2 linked regions of the Kluyveromyces lactis genome follow. The protein of the gene in region 1 interacts with the protein of each later gene in a pairwise test. Links are inferred from orthologs where the notes say so. Each region holds a gene or a part of one and is shown in the gene's direction. Other genes may lie near its edges.

What was found.
Region 2: the proteins of STE20 (region 1) and CDC42 interact in a two-hybrid assay, tested with the Schizosaccharomyces pombe proteins (4 studies listed by BioGRID). The link is inferred for Kluyveromyces lactis from reciprocal best matches to the Schizosaccharomyces pombe genes shk1 and cdc42.

The regions. Positions count from the first base shown.
Region 1 is NC_006038.1:1,189,055-1,195,936, forward strand, and holds STE20 (mitogen-activated protein kinase kinase kinase kinase STE20), read left to right. Parts: upstream 1-2,537; coding exon 2,538-5,507; downstream 5,508-6,882. Other genes in the region: putative ubiquitin-protein ligase UFD4, read left to right, coding at 1-1,776; MIF2 (Mif2p), read right to left, coding at 5,592-6,882. UniProt on the Schizosaccharomyces pombe protein: MAP4K component of the MAPK pathway required for the mating pheromone response. Phosphorylates histone H2B to form H2BS10ph. Phosphorylates tea1. Required for skb1-dependent mitotic inhibitory function. Regulates microtubule dynamics and cell polarity.
Region 2 is NC_006037.1:381,529-385,939, reverse strand, and holds CDC42 (Rho family GTPase CDC42), read left to right. Parts: upstream 1-3,121; coding exon 3,122-3,697; downstream 3,698-4,411. Other genes in the region: GCD6 (translation initiation factor eIF2B catalytic subunit epsilon), read left to right, coding at 455-2,665. UniProt on the Schizosaccharomyces pombe protein: Involved in development of cell polarity during the cell division cycle.

The DNA.
Region 1 (6,882 bases):
CACAAGATTGTGCAATCGGAATTTTTGACTTCTATCATTCCGAGCATGAGTCGTGCTAATCAACAAGCCAACCCTACAAATGTTGCCAAAGAACTTGAAAACATACAATTTGACTTTTCGTTGAATGACCATCTTTTAGATCAATCGTCAACTATTTACTCTATTATATTCAAAGAGGCGATGAAAGAAGGGTTACCCACAACGAGTATCTGGACTAACGTACCTACTTTTAAGTTCAAGAAATCAGTAAAAAGAAGGGAGTCACATCAATTGCATGTGCTTTACCCCGATACAGCTTTTGAAGGGGCGGATTTGAAGCCTGTCAATGGTATTTTGACAGTTCTACAATGTTGCCAACATAAATCACTCCCAGCATCTATTTATGTGAATCCAAAGATTAGTGCTAAGCTTTCCCGTCAACTTGAAGAGCCACTTATTGTGGCATGTGGGGTCTTACCAAGTTGGGTCCTCGATATCACGAGAAAATATGGATTTTTGTTTCCATTTGAAACTAGAATGAACTTCTTACAGAATACATCATATGGATATGGCAGATTGATCCAATACTGGAGGGAAAAGCTGGCAGATCAGCACCATAGTAACCCTACTGAAAATCCATTGCATCAATTAGGCAGGTTGACTAGACACAAGTTGAGGGTTTCAAGAGACTCACTATTTTTGTCCGGCATCAAAATTCTAAAAAAGTATGGTTCTTCGCCAAACGTATTGGAGATCGAATACAAAGATGAAGAAGGTACAGGGTTAGGACCCACTCTCGAATTTTACTCTTTGATGTCGAAAGAATTTGCAAGGAAGTCTCTAAAAATGTGGAAGACCAATAGTGATACCAGTGATGATGAGGAGGAGTATGTGACAGGTGCATTGTTCCCTGGACCATTATTGGGCACCACCGAGGAGAATAACGAAAAGACTTTGAAATTATTCGAAAACTTGGGGACCTTAGTCGCTAGGTCAATGTTAGATAATAGGATTCTCGATTTTAGATTTAACGCTGTTTTCTTCGAGTTGATGCACAAATGCTGCAAGAATGATCGACTTGACCTAGAAGACTTCGAAACTTGTATCCACCTCGTAGGACAGTTTGATGTTCAACTAGGAAAATCACTCGCATTTTTGTATGATAATCGTCATGATGACTCTATCAAAAACCTTGACCTATATTTCATGCTGCCTGGTTATGATATAGAATTGTTGGAAGGTGGTTCGAAAATCTTAGTTGAATCTTTCAACGTGGAAGAGTACTTGATTCGTGTCTTTGACCAATTTTTGGGCAAAGGCGTAGATATGCAGCTCGCTGCCTTCAGGAACGGATTTTCGAAATCATTCCCTTATTCATCATTGCTAATCTTAACTCCGACAGAACTATCCGATTTGTTTGGTGCAGTTGCTGAAGATTGGTCTGTGCAAACGCTATACTCATCCATTCATGCAGACCATGGCTACTCGATGGATTCTCCAATCATAACAGACCTCATAGATATTTTGTCGAATTTTTCGACACAACAGAAACGTTTGTTCTTACAATTCATCACTGGCTCTCCGAAACTACCTCTTGGCGGTTTCAAAAACTTAAAACCCAAATTCACAGTAGTCCTGAAGCACCCAGATGGGAACATCTCGGCAGACCATTGCCTACCTAGCGTTATGACATGCGCCAATTACTTGAAACTACCAAAATACTCTGATAAACTGGTACTCAAAGATCGTATTGCACAAGCAATGACTGAAGGTTCCGGAGCCTTCCTATTGTCATAGAATATGTATATAACTACATAGAGATGTCTGTAGATCTAACCATACTCCACCCTAACTAAAGATTTCAATACCACATACTTTCGTGACATGTGACAGGATTTACTCTTTGGGATTGGCGAAAATGTTGAAACTGAAATTTAAAGCTTAAGAGTTTAAACAAACGGAATGTAAAGATCAGATGGTATGCATGTTTATAAGCAGATTAGAGAAACGAGCAAGCTCAATTGTTGCTTTAACTGTGGCTTGTGTTAGAACTAGGTTTTAAATTTTATTAATCAGGCTATCTCTGCCGATTTGACAAGTATTTCAGAGAGTAATACCAGGTAATACCATCTTCTTTTGGATCTTTTTAATAACAAGCACACATTATTTGTTTGTTTTGGCGAGAGTGTGATTTTAGCAATCAAAAGACGTTCGTTACACTGAATTACACAACAGGCTCTCGTTTTTAAGTTAGAAGGAGGTGAAGGTAGAAAGAATTTTACAGAGCACGTTTTGTCATTTCTTTCATTGTTTATCTGACTTGATCTTCTATTCTTTGAACAAAGTAATCTAGCTTTTTTTCTGACAGAAATTAACACGGCCACAGCAGGCTTTGTTACTGACGGTTGTATGCTCTAGAAATCATTACAGACCTGTTTGTGTTTTTCGGAATACCTTTCCTTTTTGTTCGGTCGATAGAATTAACCACAAGACATCTTTTGACACAGGCCTTTTTTTTTTGATAGAAGCTACTACACTCACTACTTTGTCTCCATATAATGACGGATACTGGATATACTGAAGAATTGTTACCAGGCACATTTGATGCGCTTTCCGTGAGAGAAAATGGTGGCAATACAGAAAGTGACACCAGTAGCATACGCAAAAGTCAAAATCAAGATTCAAAACAAGAGGATGTACATCGTGAAAATCTTTCAGTACAAACTCTAGAGGATCATACAGAAGTAACGGAGACTAGGGAACAATCTGTCTCAAAAGATCTCTTTGATTTACCTCGTGCACCAGCGAGTTTGGATGTGAAAGGATTACAAGAATCAGACGAAGATCATTACGTCAAAGACCTTTCAGATTATAAATCTATGGATCCAGGGAAACCGGGCACCGTACCAACAAATGTTTCGGAAATTTTTAATAGTAACCAGCCAACTTTGGATGAACCGATACAATTTACAAGAGTCTCTTCCAGTTCTGTGTTAAGTGAAAGTATATCGGAAGGTGATGCAGATTTAATATCGCATCTAGAAGGAAAAGTGGAAGAAGGAAATAATTTGACTTCGAAGGAGACGCCAGGGACAATTGAATCTATTGTTGGAGATAAGACGATGTCAACTATAGAAGGTTCCTCCCAAAATATAGGTAGAATATCTACTGGCGGGAGGATGACACCTGATCTCTCTCTTATGGGCGGGGCCCTGGAAACTTCTTCTGACTTCCTAAATTCCACACAAACCTCAAATTCTCCAAAGATTACAACACCTATAACTGAAGTTGATGCCAATGATGTATATGAGTCCCCGCTAAATGAGATATTATCATCTACAGATAGTTTCAACAAGGCATCGACAGCGTCTGCAGATCATTCGAAACACGTAAGTGTGCATGAAGTAATACCTGAAGAAGAACCACATCCAGAAACAACAAATGAGGATCCTCCAATTAAAACTCCCGTAATGGTGAATAACTTTTTCGAAAATCAAACACCAGTATCAGAATCAAGATCCCCCTTCAGAACCATTTCTTCTCCGTTTTCTTCTCTGAGGAAAAACGTTAAGAGTCAGCATGGGACGCCTGACCACTCCCAGAGGAATTCTAATTCCTCCACCTCCTCTAATGATGTTAAGAGGAAGACCGGTACTAAGAAGAAAGGTGTTTTCTCAACATTCGTTCAAAACATCAAGAGGAACTCACACTCAGAGAAAAGAATTTCTAGCGGAAGCGGTAATGGAAGTGGAAATAATGCATTTAAGATCTCTACTCCTTATAATGCTAAGCATGTTTATCATGTAGGTGTTGACTCCAAAACAGGGGAATATACAGGGTTACCAAATGAATGGGAGAAACTTTTAACTTCCAGTGGCATTAGTATGAAAGAACAACAGCAACATCCCCAGGCTGTGATGGATATTGTAAAATTCTACCAAGATGTTACTGAAAACTCTGGAGAAGAGAAAGTCTTCAAGACTTTCAAAGTAGGAGGTGGCTCTGGTGCAAACATTGCATCTACACCTTCTTTCAGAACCCCATCAACTGCATCAGTACAGAAGTTCGAAACTCCGCAAATGCAAACAGATGCAACTTTTCCGAATGAAAACAATGATACCCCATACTCTAGTAACTTACAGGGTCCGCTGCTCACTAACGATTTCAGTGAAACTGTGAACAACGAAAAGTTCATACCGACTCGGCCTGCTCCAAAACCTCAAGGTTCCTCCACAGTTAGCCGTAGGGTCGAAATCCCTTCACCAATCAATTCGCTTGGCCATGGAACACCAAAAGTGCAAAGAAGTGATACTCAGTCATCAAGCATTTTCTCATTCAAGAAGATGCCAACATTGAAAAGTGAGCAACCATTACCTCCTATTCCAAAGGCTGCAGAAAAACCAGCAAATTTATTGCCTGCAAGAGCGGCTCCTACTCCACCAAAACCTGCAATTCCTACAACACCGGAACAATCCTCAATACCTGCAATTCCTTCCGGGCTTGCTGTGGAAGTGAAAGAGGAATCGAATACTTCTAATGTCCAGACAAGAAAGGCCCAGGAAAAAAAGAGGGAAGAGAGGAAAAGAAAGAATCAACAAATTCAATCAAAATTAACCGAGATTTGCACAACAGGAGACCCAAGCAAACTGTACAAGAATCTGATCAAAATCGGACAAGGTGCATCAGGAGGAGTTTACACAGCGTATGAATTGGGCACAAATGCTTCAGTAGCAATAAAACAGATGAATTTGGAGAAACAACCCAAGAAAGAGTTAATTGTGAATGAAATTCTGGTCATGAAAGGAAGCAAACACAACAACATTGTTAATTTCATTGATTCATACCTATTTAGAGGTGATTTATGGGTTGTCATGGAATACATGGAAGGTGGTTCGTTGACTGATGTCGTTACGCACTGTATATTGACTGAAGGGCAAATCGGTGCCGTCTCTAGAGAAACACTCAAGGGTTTACAGTTTTTGCATTCAAAGGGAGTCATTCATAGAGATATTAAATCAGACAATATTTTGCTATCCATGAACGGAGACATCAAACTAACAGATTTCGGTTTTTGTGCTCAGATTAACGAGGTAAATTTGAAGAGAACGACGATGGTTGGTACTCCGTACTGGATGGCCCCAGAAGTCGTATCAAGAAAAGAATATGGACCAAAGGTTGATATTTGGTCTCTTGGTATTATGATCATTGAAATGATAGAAGGTGAACCACCATATCTGAATGAGACACCACTAAGAGCTCTATATTTGATCGCTACCAATGGTACGCCAAAGCTAAAGGATCCTGGAAATTTAAGTCATAAAATGGCTATGTTCTTAAATTGGTGTTTAATGGTTGATCCAGAGGACAGAGGAACCGCAGCAGATCTTCTTGAAGATCCATTTATCACTGAAATTGCGGAAGAGAACACCTCCCTTGCACCGTTGGTTAAACTGGCAAGGATGAAGAAACTAGCAGAAAGTATGGAAGATGATGAAAACGATGAAGACAAATACGATGAACAATCATAATCATTTCTGTTTTACGGCATTACATGAATTTAAAACTTTATTTTTTCTATATAGAATAGTTGTGTTATTAATATTTCATTCACATTAGGTAGATGTGAGACTCATATCGCTCGAAGATTTATTAGAAGACATCTCCGAATCTTCAAAAATGTCATCTGCACCATTAAAATCTTCAGGGACGGTTGTTTGAACGAAGAAAAGTTGCGCTTCTGTCATTCCTTTATTGAGAAAACCGTAAGTGTTGAACGCCGGTACTTGAAAAGAAGAACCCGTTGTACACACAAACTTGTTATCACCCACAGATATTTCAACAACACCTTTAACAACGAAAAAATTGATAAAAGCGTTATGTGAATCACTAGGGGTCTTTTCTCCATCGAGCGGAAGCTTAAGCATACCGCTGGCAAACCTTTCTTTGTGTTTATCGAATAAAATCGATAAAGTAAATTTATCCTGGTTTGTGCTTGTAACCTGTTCAGTTTGTGCTAACCCAGGAGCAAAAGCCAATATATTCTGTTCTTTCTTCTCATCAGCTGTAACATTGACCTTTGATTGAAGAATACCTTGTTTCAGCCATTCAGCATTTGGATAAGTTCCTTGCTGAATATCTTGAATAATTGGAGCGTTTGGATCGGTAATGTTCTGATCATCCACAGGCTTAATTTTCCGTGGTCGACCTCTAGGTTTACCGGACGGAATGTAGTTATACGGTCTTGTCTTGGTTTTCATTACCTGCTTTTTAGCACGTTTACTTTTCAGTAGTTGCTCCTCTTCTTCATCCTGATCATGATCATACGTGATAATTTTTTCAATCTCAAGGACAGGCTTCTCTGATTTTCTCTTGTACACGATCTTTTCATTTCTCCAGTACTCAAGCGGTGCAACTTTGACTCTATTCGATCTACGAATTCCGCCTTCCGTACTTGGACTTTCGTCTTTCAATAAATCTTTAGCTTGTGTCTGAATGTAATCTTCGTCGGAATCATACACGTCAGATGCAGATTCAATATCTCTTTTCTGTTTTCGTACGTCGCTCAATACAGCATCATCTTCTTCTGAATCGTAATCTGAGCTATCTTCTGAGCTATCCGAGCTAGCATCACGAAATCCTGATATTCCTTCCACGTAATCTCTATCTTCTTCCTCTTCACTCCCAGGCTGGAAATCATCGTCGAGTTCGTCTTCTAACAACGCGTTTTCTGATGTATTAAAAGATTCATCTCTGGTAGTGTCTGCATCGTTTATAAGATCGGGAACGTCTCTATAATCATCCAGTTCTCGCCTTACCGGAGTGAGCTGGACAGAAATATCCTCATCTTCTTCATTCTCGTCGGCTTCCGGTAACTGTCTCATAAATCGCCTTTCTCTCCTCGTA
Region 2 (4,411 bases), on another chromosome or scaffold:
CCAATCAATATGGAACATTCTATGAAAATTGGCCCTTCAAAAGGTCGTTTCAAAGCAACGCGATAGTCGTGGGTTCAAACCCCACCAGGGGCATCTATTTTTTTCTCATATTTCAACTATCTTTTTTTTATGGGTTACTATGATGATTCTGATTTTTACACAGAAATTCACGCAGAGCGTTGTATCTGAAATTTTTTTCTTGTCTTGGTTCTTCCTTATTTTCAAATTGAAAGTGAGAAATGACATGAAATTTGAATATTGAACAATCAATTAATTACATATTACACATGATGATGAGTTTATCGAGAAGAGAAAATCATCCAACTTTATCGCTCTGGAAACGCTTAGTCTTTTGGTTAGAACGGGGAAAAAGGTACCCTGTTTATTAATAGTATACTTGTACTCATTTAAGCTTTTTTTGTTTCCAGAGTTTCCCGTAATTTACAATCGAAAGATGAGTGGAAAGAAGACCAAATCTGGTAAAGCCAATCAGAATAAGAAACAAGAGGTTGTTCAAGATGAACGTTTACAAGCGATTGTTTTGACTGACTCGTTTGAGACTAGGTTTATGCCTTTGACTTCGGTGAAACCAAGATGTTTGTTGCCGTTGGCCAACATTCCCTTGATTGAATATACTTTGGAGTTCTTAGCTAAGGCCGGAGTCAACGAAGTTTATCTGATTTGTGCATCGCATGGTGAACAGATCCAGGAATATATCGATCAGTCCAAATGGAGTTTACCATGGGCTCCGTTTAAGGTGAATACCATCATGTCGCTAGAGTCCAGATCTGTTGGAGATGCAATGAGAGATGTCGATAACCGTGGGCTAATTACCGGTGATTTCGTACTTGTTAGTGGTGATTTGGTGACTAATATGGACTTTGAAAAGGCTTTAGATATTCATAAACAAAGGAGAAAGGCTGATAAGGATCATATTGTCACTATGTGCCTAAGTAAAGCGACTCAGTTTCATAAGACAAGGTCTCATGAACCAGCAACGTTCATTTTTGATAAGTCTAATGATAGATGTATTTACTACCAGGATATCCCATTGGCTAGCTCTAGAGAAAAAACTACCATTGATATTGATCCTGAACTTCTGGAAGGTGTTGACGAGTTTGTGTTACGCAACGATTTGATTGATTGCCATGTAGATATCTGTTCTCCTCATGTCCCTGCTATTTTCCAAGAGAATTTCGATTACCAATTCTTGAGAAGAGATTTTGTTAGAGGTGTGCTTTCTAGTGATTTGTTGAAGAAACATATCTACGGGTACATTACCGACGAATACACCACTAGAGCAGAAAGTTGGCAAACGTATGATGCTATCTCGCAAGATTTTATTGCTAGATGGTGTTACCCATTGGTTCTTAATGCCAACCTTTTAAAGGGCCAAACTTATTCATACGAAAGCCAACACATTTATAAGGAAAAAGACGTGGTATTAGCGCAGTCCTGTAAGATAAAGAAAAACACGGCCATCGGCTCAGGATCCAAGATTGGAGAAGGTACAGTCATTGAAAATAGTGTTGTTGGTAGAAATTGTAAAATTGGCTCAAACATCAGAATCAAAAACAGTTACATTTGGGACAATGTTGTCATTGATGATAACACTACAATTGAGCACTCTTTAGTTGCTTCAGATGTTAAATTAGGATCAAACGTCACCTTGAATGATGGTTCCATTATCGGATTCAATGTAGTGATTGACGATAATGTTACAATCCCAGTTGGAACCAAGATTTCAGCGGTTCCAGTACAGAGGAACACAGCTCAATTCTTAGATACAGCACATAATCTTTCTTCCAGCGATGAGGACGAAGAAGGAAGCACATTCACCAGAAATTCATCTTCTTTATCAATCAGTAATTCCGATGAAGTTGCCGATGCGAAGATTAAACTATCTAAGCAGTTGGTTGGGCCAAACGGGAGAGGCGTACTATACGAAAGTGATGATGAGGATGAAGATGAAGATGGATCGACCGAAAAGGGTATTGCGAACACATTAACGTACAGAGACGATGACATTTATTTATCGGATACTTCCATATCATCCATCACTCAAAAACATAGAAAGAGGAGAACCATGTCGATGACTAGTATCTATACTGATTACGAAGGAGAAGAAGACGAAGAAGAAGATTTCGAAAAAGAAGCCATCGCAACAGTTGAAAGAGCTATAGAGAACAACCACGATTTAGACACATCAATGCTTGAACTAAACACTTTGAGAATGAGTATGAACGTCACTTATCATGAAGTCAGGAATGCTTCTGTTATCGCTATATTCAGAAGAGTTTACCACTTTGTAGCCACACAAACACTAGGTCCAAAGGACGCTGTCACTAAAGTCTTACAACAATGGGGTCCTGTGTTTAAGAGACAAGCATTTGATAGTGATGAGTTCATTGATCTAATGAATATCATTCTGGATCGTGTGCTAGATCAGAAATTCGATAAACCAGATTTCATTCTATTCCATGTATATAATGTCTTGTATGATTTGGATATCTTAGAGGAAGATGTCATTTACAAATGGTGGGACTCTGTAAGCGGTGATTCAAAATACAGCGAAGTTACTGCTCTACTGGCCAAATGGGTGGACTGGCTAAAGACTGCAGATGAAGAATCATCTGATGAAGAAGACAGTGACGAAGACGAATAAGTCAATAACGTCATAAATGCCCTTTGAATTTTCATGGTTCCTCCGAAGTTCAAGATTGGTCAATATCAATCAATATAATGTAGCATGTAGCATTTCGAGTAAACGTGAGATAACCATATGCAAAGTAATCTATAGACAAATATACGTACGCATTTCAAGGCTAGTGTCCTCACTACCGGACTGCCAACCGCCTATGCGGTCTTCCTGTATTCTATATGGGAGAGTTTGACTGAAAATAATTCAAGTCACGTTACAACGTTACCCTAACTTCCTTATCTATTAACATATTCCCATTTCAAAATTGAAATAACAGAACAGGAGGACGAAGATATGTATGTGATGAAGGAGAGTAGTCAGACAAATTGGATGTTAGACATAGCACAGTCAGCCGGAAGTAACACCGTAAAGGCCTGCAGTGATAGTAGTATAAAAGCAAGGAAGAAAGGAATTTAAAACATGCAAACTCTTAAGTGTGTTGTTATAGGTGATGGTGCTGTCGGTAAGACGTGTCTTCTAATTTCATACACAACTAACCAGTTTCCAGCCGACTACGTTCCAACCGTTTTCGACAATTATGCTGTTACGGTGATGATTGGCGATGAGCCATACACGCTAGGTCTTTTCGATACAGCTGGTCAAGAAGATTATGATAGATTAAGACCGTTATCATACCCATCAACAGACGTGTTCTTGGTTTGTTTCAGTGTTATATCTCCTCCTTCTTTTGAGAACGTAAAAGAAAAATGGTTCCCAGAAGTACATCATCATTGTCCTGGTGTTCCATGTTTGATTGTGGGTACTCAGATAGATTTAAGAGATGATAAAGTGATTATTGAAAAACTACAGAGACAAAGGCTTCGTCCTATCACTCCAGAGCAAGGTGAAAGGTTAGCCAGAGAGCTTAGAGCCGTAAAATATGTTGAATGTTCGGCTCTTACCCAGCGTGGTTTGAAAAACGTTTTCGACGAAGCTATTGTTGCTGCTCTGGAACCTCCAGTCATTAAAAAGAGTAAAAAATGTATTATATTGTGAAAAGTGATCGGCCTTGTATTTTTTTTTTTTATTACCAGTACATGTATCAGGTAAGAAGTTTCTCACTCAAGGATGAGCGTTCTTAACAATCTTCCCGTTCACCATCAAGTCCAGTTTTATATTTATAGATGATTGTGAGATAGAGAGTGTGTTTCCAAGTTTTTGCAGGTTCAAAAGAGAAAAAAAGCTCTACCCCCCATCTCCAGAAAAAGCGTTACATTTCACTAAACCAACATCCTAAAACTACCAAAACTACTTCATAACTCTTTGACATTTCTATAGACAAACTGAAGTACCAAACGTTTGGTTCTTTGTTTGAATTCTAAACCGTCTAAAATACGAAACTGGTTCGAAGCGAAAAACTAAACACTATGGAGTATCGCTTTGTTTAAGTATAAAACCTCAACGAAATTACTCTTCGTGTGTGGATTTCATTATCTCATGATATATTTAACCTCTCAGGCTTCTAATTGACTTTTAGCTCAATAGTTTATATAAATATAAAAACATTTTCCATTTAACATATTGCTTTAATTATACTATTTGGTCTTGCAAAGTACTTTACACATCCAAAAATACAGAACTTCGGAACGTCTTATAAAATCATATTTAAACCATCAACCATATTTTAAATAACATTTAGATTCCATGCAATATTTTGGATGATGAAATGGATGTTACTTCGCATTAACCTGGGTTACCTGTAAGATAGAA